2 linked regions of the Bombyx mori genome follow. The protein of the gene in region 1 binds, or shares a complex with, the protein of each later gene. Links are inferred from orthologs where the notes say so. Each region holds a gene or a part of one and is shown in the gene's direction. Other genes may lie near its edges.

The links. Proteins that work in one complex are often made in the same cells at the same time.
Region 2: DNA replication complex GINS protein SLD5 (region 1) and DNA replication licensing factor MCM4 share a complex: the UniProt entries of both Homo sapiens proteins name them as parts of the CMG helicase complex. The link is inferred for Bombyx mori from reciprocal best matches to the Homo sapiens genes GINS4 and MCM4.

What each region holds. Positions count from the first base shown.
Region 1 is NC_085121.1:9,245,279-9,249,669, forward strand, and holds the start of DNA replication complex GINS protein SLD5, read left to right. Parts: upstream 1-1,533; 5' UTR 1,534-2,730; coding exon 2,731-3,307; intron 3,308-3,989; coding exon of another isoform or gene 3,990-4,012; exon of another isoform or gene 4,013-4,391. Other genes in the region: opsin-1, read right to left, coding at 1,390-1,396. UniProt on the Homo sapiens protein: Required for correct functioning of the GINS complex, a complex that plays an essential role in the initiation of DNA replication, and progression of DNA replication forks.
Region 2 is NC_085125.1:2,550,933-2,555,007, forward strand, and holds the start of DNA replication licensing factor MCM4, read left to right. Parts: upstream 1-1,266; 5' UTR 1,267-1,411; coding exon 1,412-1,541; intron 1,542-4,075. UniProt on the Homo sapiens protein: Acts as a component of the MCM2-7 complex (MCM complex) which is the replicative helicase essential for 'once per cell cycle' DNA replication initiation and elongation in eukaryotic cells.

The sequences.
Region 1 (4,391 bases):
GACGAAGGGTACGCGTGAATCCAGTAGCCGGCCTCGTGCGCACCCACAGCCAAAAGCCTAGCACGCGCCGAACCTGTACTACAGCTCAAAAGATTGTCATATGTCAATTTGCAGTTTATGTCGTCCCAGCTCTTCTGTGAATTTAGAGAAACTGGAAAATTTTGACGTGGGCATCCAATTAAGAAAGCGTTTCTAGCTTCTTCCAAGCCAGCAATCTCAAAGTTTTTTACTTATGAGATTTGCTGAACTATGGACAAAAGATAGGAAGGCTGGTAAAGCGACACGAGAAATTTTGCGAGTCCCTAAACCACCAAAACGGATGGGTAGGGATGCATGGGTCCAAGTTAGCTCGTTTAGCTGCATATTAAGAATCGATTCTAAGCCATTTTTGATTAAAGTCTACTTGTGTCAAAAGATCTGGGTGATTCCAAAAAGAGCAGCAATGGAGCACATACGTAAATTTTGGAACGAAAAAACTAAATTTTAAGATGCAAAGTGCTTAATGTGGACTAATTTCAAGGAAACGGTCAGCAGAATTTTGAAATTTAGTAATAAATTTAGTTATTTATAAAATAAACTATGTTTAAGTGCCGCCGTTATAGTACGGTTGATATTTGCAAAGTACAGCTATTTGTAAGTACAGATATTTGTAAGTACAGCTCTGTATTACTGAGGTAATGTAGTTATGCGACTTCAAAGAAGCAGGTTTATGTGGCTAACAAGATTAAATGTCTTCGCTAGTACGTACGTACATTATTCGATACAAAAACTGCAATTAATTGTTTAAAACAAACTAGGTGTGTCCCGCGGCCCACGGCTCTATTTTAAGTAAAATTTAGAATGAATAATGTAAATGTATTTACGGGATGGTCAGTGTGCTTGTACCAAGCACATGTACAACAACTTTCAGTAGTAATGTCCGAAGTAGAGTTCATTGTTCCATCCACAGCTCATTTCTAGAAATAATTCTAGGATGAACTCTATAGCAAAGTATTTCTGAAAGCTATATTCAGACGAGTTTTGAAAATAATATGTAGTTTTAAGTGGGAGGCGACGCACTCTTTCATAGTGTCAGCACTGGCTTTTCTCTTCTGAATATCGACTTTTTTCGTTTTCTTGCTCTTCATCCCTAATTTTACTAGTAAGATAAGGCTTGCTGTAAGCCTACTAGGATGGCTCGAGCACCCATTACTACTGAGACTTCCACAACATGAAGCAATAAAAAAATATTTAAAAATATTAACCATTCAACCCTTCAAACCAGGATGATGATTGGTTTGCACAAGAAATAAACAAGATGGTATGGCGGCTTATACTAATTTTATTACAGCGTTCGATGTTATTCCTTCACTACTAAACTTTGTTCAAGAACACAGTGGAGAAACATACTTAACATACAGGAACATTATCATTTGTAGAAATCGAACTTGATATTAAATATCATCGAGACTCATAGCTGCTCACTCACTCTTCGTAGTATTACTTATGATAGAAATAGATAAAACATTGGTTCAAACTAGAGGTGGCTAATATAACCAATAACCAATAAATTTACCGGTAAAAAAAATTAACACTTCTATTCGATAAATAAAATTACCCAAAACGGTTAAAAATACCGTTTACCAAACACACTGCGTGTAGTGGCATAGGCAATTATTGGAAATTATATTTATGCAAGTTTCAACTTTATTTCAACACGTAAGATTCATTTTCGCCTTGCAGATGTCTTCAACTTATCATGTAAAAAATATTGAATTTTATGATTTCATTGTATGCTCTATACCCCTCAAAATAAAGCACAATATTTAAGTTGGTGTATTTTACAGTTAATGATAATTTTTTTCGTTAAAAAATTGAAATGAAACGATATTTTTACCGAACGCGAAGATGACGTGATTGGTTGATTTTTTAAACGTAATATTTTGTTTGGTACTTGACATTTTGGTGGCTCAGTGCATCTTTTCTATTATTTTGGTAAAGTTGTGTTTTTGTATTTTAAGAGATTTGTACTTTGTGTTTGTGTGTTTTGACTTTGTTTTTGTGTGTTTGAGACTTTGCTTACTTTGTTGTTGTGGATTTTTAAATTGTATATCTAATTTAAAATGCCGAAACGCAATGCAGAAATATGGGATCATTTCGAAAAGTGCTAGTACCATTCAAGTTTAACATTAGCAAAATTAATTTTTCAACGAAAAGATTTACCGGTATTTTCAACCAATAAAAATATCGGTAATTTTTTTTATCAATTACCAGTTAACAGATAAATAAATTCAACCGTTAACGCCATCTCTAGTTCAAACCAACAAAGTTTTAAACAAATAGTAAGCAAAAAAATCTGTGAGAAAAAAAATTACATTATTTTACCATAAACTTATTATTTCAATAAAGGTAGTAGAAATAAAATCCCGTGCTATTCAGAAGAAAAAAAAAATTAATGACAATTGAGGTATGTCATAAAGTAACAATTTGTTTAGTACAGAAAGCAAGACAAAAATACAGAAAATTTTAATAAAAGAAAAAGATAAAAGAAAAAAAAACTATGATTGTAATGTAGTGAAACATGAATGCGATTATATACTCTTTAAATTTATAATGAATTGGTAAAAAAAGCTCTTTAGAACCTAAAAAACACCAGAACTCAAATTCGAGTCGTGAAAGCTAGAATAATATCATTCAGTGACAATCTAAAGTTGCACTAGAATTCTGTGGGTATATATAATTTAGAAGAATATGGAGTCAACCGAAGAGTTGCAGTTCAGTGATGATGAAGAAGAAGTAACAGCTGAGACTGTTTTAAAAACACTACAAAGTGCTTGGCAAAATGAAAGATTGTCCCCAGAAATACTCCCTCATCAAAATGACATGGTAGAATGTATGTTAGGTCAAATACAACACATGGAAAGAAACATAAATAAACTTTCAAAAACTGATTTGAGAACTTCTATACACAAAATGGAGATTAGCAGAATTAAATTTATTATTTGTAATTATCTTAAAACTAGACTGAATAAGATTGAAAAATATTGCATTCCAATACTAAACCAAGAAAGACAAAGAATAGAAACTGATACTAATTACCTAACACCATCAGAATATAAATATGCTCAAGAATATGTTTTGAACATGGAAAATCATATGAAAAATGTGGTATTAAATAAAATGCCTGGTAATATGCAAGTCTTTGAAATGAACAAAATGGCAGAACATCCTAATTTACAAACGCATGTATTCCTTAAAGCCAATGAAACCATTAATGGGGTTGTATTAGAAGACTTGACTGGTGAAGATGAAGAAATTGACTTAGAAGGTTTGTTATTGATTTTCTCACAACTGAAACACATTATAGGTTTTCTTTTGTTATACTTTGATAGATAGAGCAATACCCTTGTTGGTTTAATGACCTTGACTATTGTACCACAGGATATCACCTATATCATTGAAGTTATCATGACTTAAATAATAATATTATGGTATATTGAATGATTTGATTATATATGTCTTAAATTGAATCTAATTCTGTTTGATTAATCCACAAAAAAGAAATAACACTATGGAAACAATAAACTTGCCAAAATAAAAATAATATCCCATAATTATTGGTGGTAGGCCATATGGGAATGTGTCACCAATTAATTAGTCTCTGCCATAAAGCAGTCATGAAGTTTGAAGAATGGGGACAGTCCCCATACTAGACAATGGAGACTTAGACCTCATATCTCAGGAGGTATTCACTTTTTATAGTATTTATAGATTTTGGTGAACATTTAACATTGTGTATGTCTGACACATACAACACTTCTGAACATACATTATGTAGCAATCTCAGAAATAAAAAAAAATCAAACACAGTGAATGATATTTACCATAGGAGTTAAAATCTTATACTTTTAAACTAATCTAAAGTGCAAAGTTGTGCTATAATTAAAATTATTATTTTTTTTAATTAAAACCTTGAGGCAAGAGTTCTAAGTCTCCGTTTTATGACTCAGTTAATGGCTGCCCCAACTCTTAAACCAAAACGCATTACTGCTTCATGGCAGAAATAGGCAGGGTGGTGGTACACATCATGCAGGCTCACAAGACACCGTACCACTAGTGAAAGTGTAAGTAAGATGTTAAATGATAAAGCTGTAATGTAAAAATGCTTGTAATTACCTTAACATTTCAATTTAAAGTCTAAATTTTATTGTAGGTATGTAGCCCAACCATATACTTACACCAGTAAAGTCAAATTTATTAATTTCGTAGGTTTGTAATTGCAGTAATGCTATCTATATAAATACTAAGTTTATGCATTTCCTCAGAAAACTAGGGAATGTCATAGAATTTTAAATCTGAAATAGCAGTAGCTATCATAGGACAAAAATTGAGCAAAAACTGAAACCATGCAA
Region 2 (4,075 bases), on another chromosome or scaffold:
ATAAATCATATGTCCAGTCACCGACAAATAAGCACGAAATATTCTACGTCCAATGCAGGTAGGCGAAACAAACCCACCGGGACGTGAATATTTTTCGTGCATTTATCAACGTTCCTTTATTATATTGCACTTGATCAAATTTACTACACAACAGTCAGAGTTGCTGTTACATAGCAATTATCATTTTTATTTATTTTAACATAAAATAACACCACAAAAACATCAGCGGTGAAGGTGAATGAACGATCAATTGATTTAAAAAACAAACTTCATTGTCTGTGGTAAGTTGACATTCAATAGGGTAAAAATCGCTATTAATCGGCAATGATGAACCTTTTTTTCTTAAAACATATTTTCTTATGCAGCATGGCTTAGTCCTCGGTATTACCAAATAAAATTGTTTCTGTTATCTCGTTTAGTATCAATTGCACCTTTGCCCACTTAATTATCTTTCCGTGATCGCGTGATTGCTGATGGCCTGTAGGCTTTAACACGATAGGAAAGTGAGCTCTGTTTAAACCAAGAGGGGTAGAATTTGCTGTCAACGGCCTAATCGTTTCCAAAGAAGGGTGGTGCAACAGCATTTATGAAATAGGGCATAGCGTTTTAAACAGTCTGAACGGTCACATCCGAACTTTGCTTAAACTGGGACCGCTCACGCGGTACAATTAATCCTATTTTTCTTACTTAATAAAATTGCTACTGACTATCCACCAAGAAAAGAACTAAAAATAAGTTGAGTTGATAGTATCACTAAAACGTAGGTGATGAACAATATTAATTTGTGTACATGCCCAAACCTCTACACAAGTCGCAATATATAATGGTTGCATTCACCGGTTTCAAACTGACAGCAAACTATCGTGAGTCATCTACAAGCCGACCTTTTGGAGGAATGTGAAGTGTCCAGCTCTATAAATTATAGTGTTTTGTTCACTTTGTGTATCTTCAGATATAGATTTGTAAAAATCCATGAATGTAGAAAAATGAAGAATAAAGTCACTGGTCGTGGCTTTTCGGGTTTTTCCAAAAAGTCCATTGAATACTTAGTAAATTGGAAATTCAAATCTACCTTTTTATTTCTTAATTTACTTAGAGGCTATTTTATTCCTTCTCTAATGAAATTGTTGCAGTCCGCTTCATTTAGTTGTAACCTAATTTCACCTGTAAATTCGCGAAGTTTCCATTTTTGGGTTCAATCGTATCACAGAAATTTTCAAGGTATCGGGCGATATTCCCTTTACTTGTCTGACGAACGAAACCGATTATAACGAACGACAATGTCAGCTGTCAACAATTCGCGCCAAGACTTCTAAAGTTCCAAAACAAATGCTGCTTCGGTGTTGTTTAAAACTTGTTGCTAATTATTTTTTATAGTAAGTTGTGTTAAAAAACGAGTGTGAAGTTAAAAATGTCTACACCATCTAAACGCCCGTCGTCGCGTGCATCATCGGAAGCATCGACTCCACGAAGAACGCGATCCTCACAACAAGTTATCGTTCCGGAGACTCCGCAGCGTTCAACCGGCACACCTTCGAAAGGTGAGAGTTGACAACAGAATCATTAAGATTTAAAACAATTGTACATTTGTATATAAACTTTTATTTAGAATTACAAACAAATTAAACTAAAATTTGTTTTGTAAAATTTTAGTTTAATTCTGCTGTACTTATTTCATCTTAACATTTAACCTCTTTTATCAATTTATATTTAACTTTTTAAAATTTCATACATATAATACATAAGGGAATAAAAGGCTTACAGCGTAATATTTAACTAAATAAAACAGCATTCGAATTTTATCATGTTTTAAACAGGCAGACATCTGTTAATTGATTAAAGTAGACTAGACATCACAACCTAAATGCTAGCACCCGCTTTGGACAATAAAGTCTAGTCTCTAATGTCATAAAAATATTAATATAAAATAATAAGTTCAAGTTAATATAATAAAACAATGTTTTCAAGACATAGCATAAAAATATAATAATGATAGGTAGCAAAAATGACAATGTGTTTGAAGTATATTTCAAATAATGGAATATGGAAAAGAAGGTTACAACATTCCTCCCCATCTACATCTCGTTGATCAGACGGCGGGGTGCCTGTTTAGGTCGATTACTTCGACGCGGAGCAAATGGCACAGGAGTGGAGACCGGAGCAGGTGAGGAGTATAACTTCGAATGCTGTGAAGGTGAATTTGGAGAAATTTGTACATTTGTAGGCGACTGCGGTGTAGGTAATAGTACTGCTGCCGAATTCTTATTGTTAGTTAGCCTTTCGCTAATTGATGTTTCCATTCCAATGTCTGGAGAAGCAGTCGTCGGCAGCATAGAAGAATGCGCCCTTTTATTCCTCGGGGTTTCTGAGGTGGAAGACTCGCGTGGCCTGATGTGATCAGCGTGTCTTCGTTTTTCTAGTCCTCCTGGTGTTGAAACAATATATGAATATTTATGTTTTCGGGATGTAATTACCGCTGGTTCCCATATTTTATCATTGCGTGTTTTAATATATACTTGGTCACTTGGTCGGTAACTCGGTGATGTGGTACGAATGTTTTCTTTTACTTGTAAATACTGCATTAATCTTCTTTTGTCTGGCCGAATGTTGGAAAGTATGCAATTCAATTGTCGTCCAAACATCATCTCAGCTGGAGATTTACCAGTGGACGAGTGCGGAGTGTTTCTGTATGTAAACAAAAATTCTAATAGTCGGCGCTCGAGATTTGTGTTGTCTACCGATGCCATTCTATTTTTGAATGTTCTGACTAAACGTTCTGCCAGCCCATTTGTCCGAGGATGATATGGAGATGATGTGACATGTAAAATAGATTGTTTTGTGCAATATTCTTTAAATTCATAAGATGTAAATTGAGGTCCATTATCGGATATAATCATTTTTGGTAAGCCAAATGTACAAAATATGTTATCTAATGTAAGACAAAGTGATCTGGTGTTGATGTGTTTCATCGGTCGTATTTCCACCCATTTGGAGAGAGCGTCGCACAATACCAACCAATACGATCCTTCGAACGGTCCAGCAAAGTCGATATGGATTCTCTCCCATACTTCTTCTGGTATGGACCAGGAAAATACAGGAAGTTCAGGATTACAAGGGCGGTTCTGTTGGCATCTGGTACATTTCTTGACAAATAATTCTATGTCTTCGTCAAGGTTAGGCCACCAAACATAGTAACGTGAAAGTGCTTTCATAGCAGAAATGCCAGGATGTCCTCGATGAAGGTATGTAAGAATGGTTTTTCGGAGTGCTGTAGGTATAACGATGCGTCCTTGCCTCATAAGTATCTTATTCTCAACAGATAATTCAGTCCGGTTTCTGTAGAATGGTTTCATTTCTGGATTGTAATCTGATTCTCTCCAGCCGGTTTTTAAATTTTGACAAACTTTTGTGAGTATATGATCCTTTGAAGTTGTTTTCATAAGTAACTGTTCTGATAGATTAAGGTCAGTCATTCGAGTGCTCAAAAGACGTAGATCTATTTTATGTACAAGCCCTTCTGTCTCGGAGGGTTCAGTTTCAGGGTTTGGTAATCTGGAAAGGCAATCAGCTAATGTGTTATTTTCACCTTTCCTGTAGTAAATGTCATATTGATAACTTCCCACTACTAGGGCCCATCTTACCAATCGGTTATTGGCTAGTTTAGGAAGGTTGCGGTGTGCACCCATAATATGTATAAGAGGCTTATGGTCCGTAACTAGATTAAATTTCGTTCCTCTCAAGTACTGATCAAATTTTTTTATACCAAATACTATTGCTAAAGCTTCACGATCAATAACGGAATATTTCATTTCCGCTGGTCGTAGTTTCCTTGAAGCAAAAGCAATTGGTTGTTCTATGTTCGAGTCCTTGTGGAATAATACTGCACCCAATCCCTTTTCGGAAGCGTCACATGCTAAATAAAGGGGACGTTTCTCGTCAAATGCAATTAATGGTTGTGAAGAAGTTATGCATTTCTTTGTATCTTCAAATATTCTGTTTTCATGATCAGTCCAACGCCATCTATTTTTTTCACTAGTTAGATCGTGAAGATCCGAACAAATCCCGTGAAGATGTG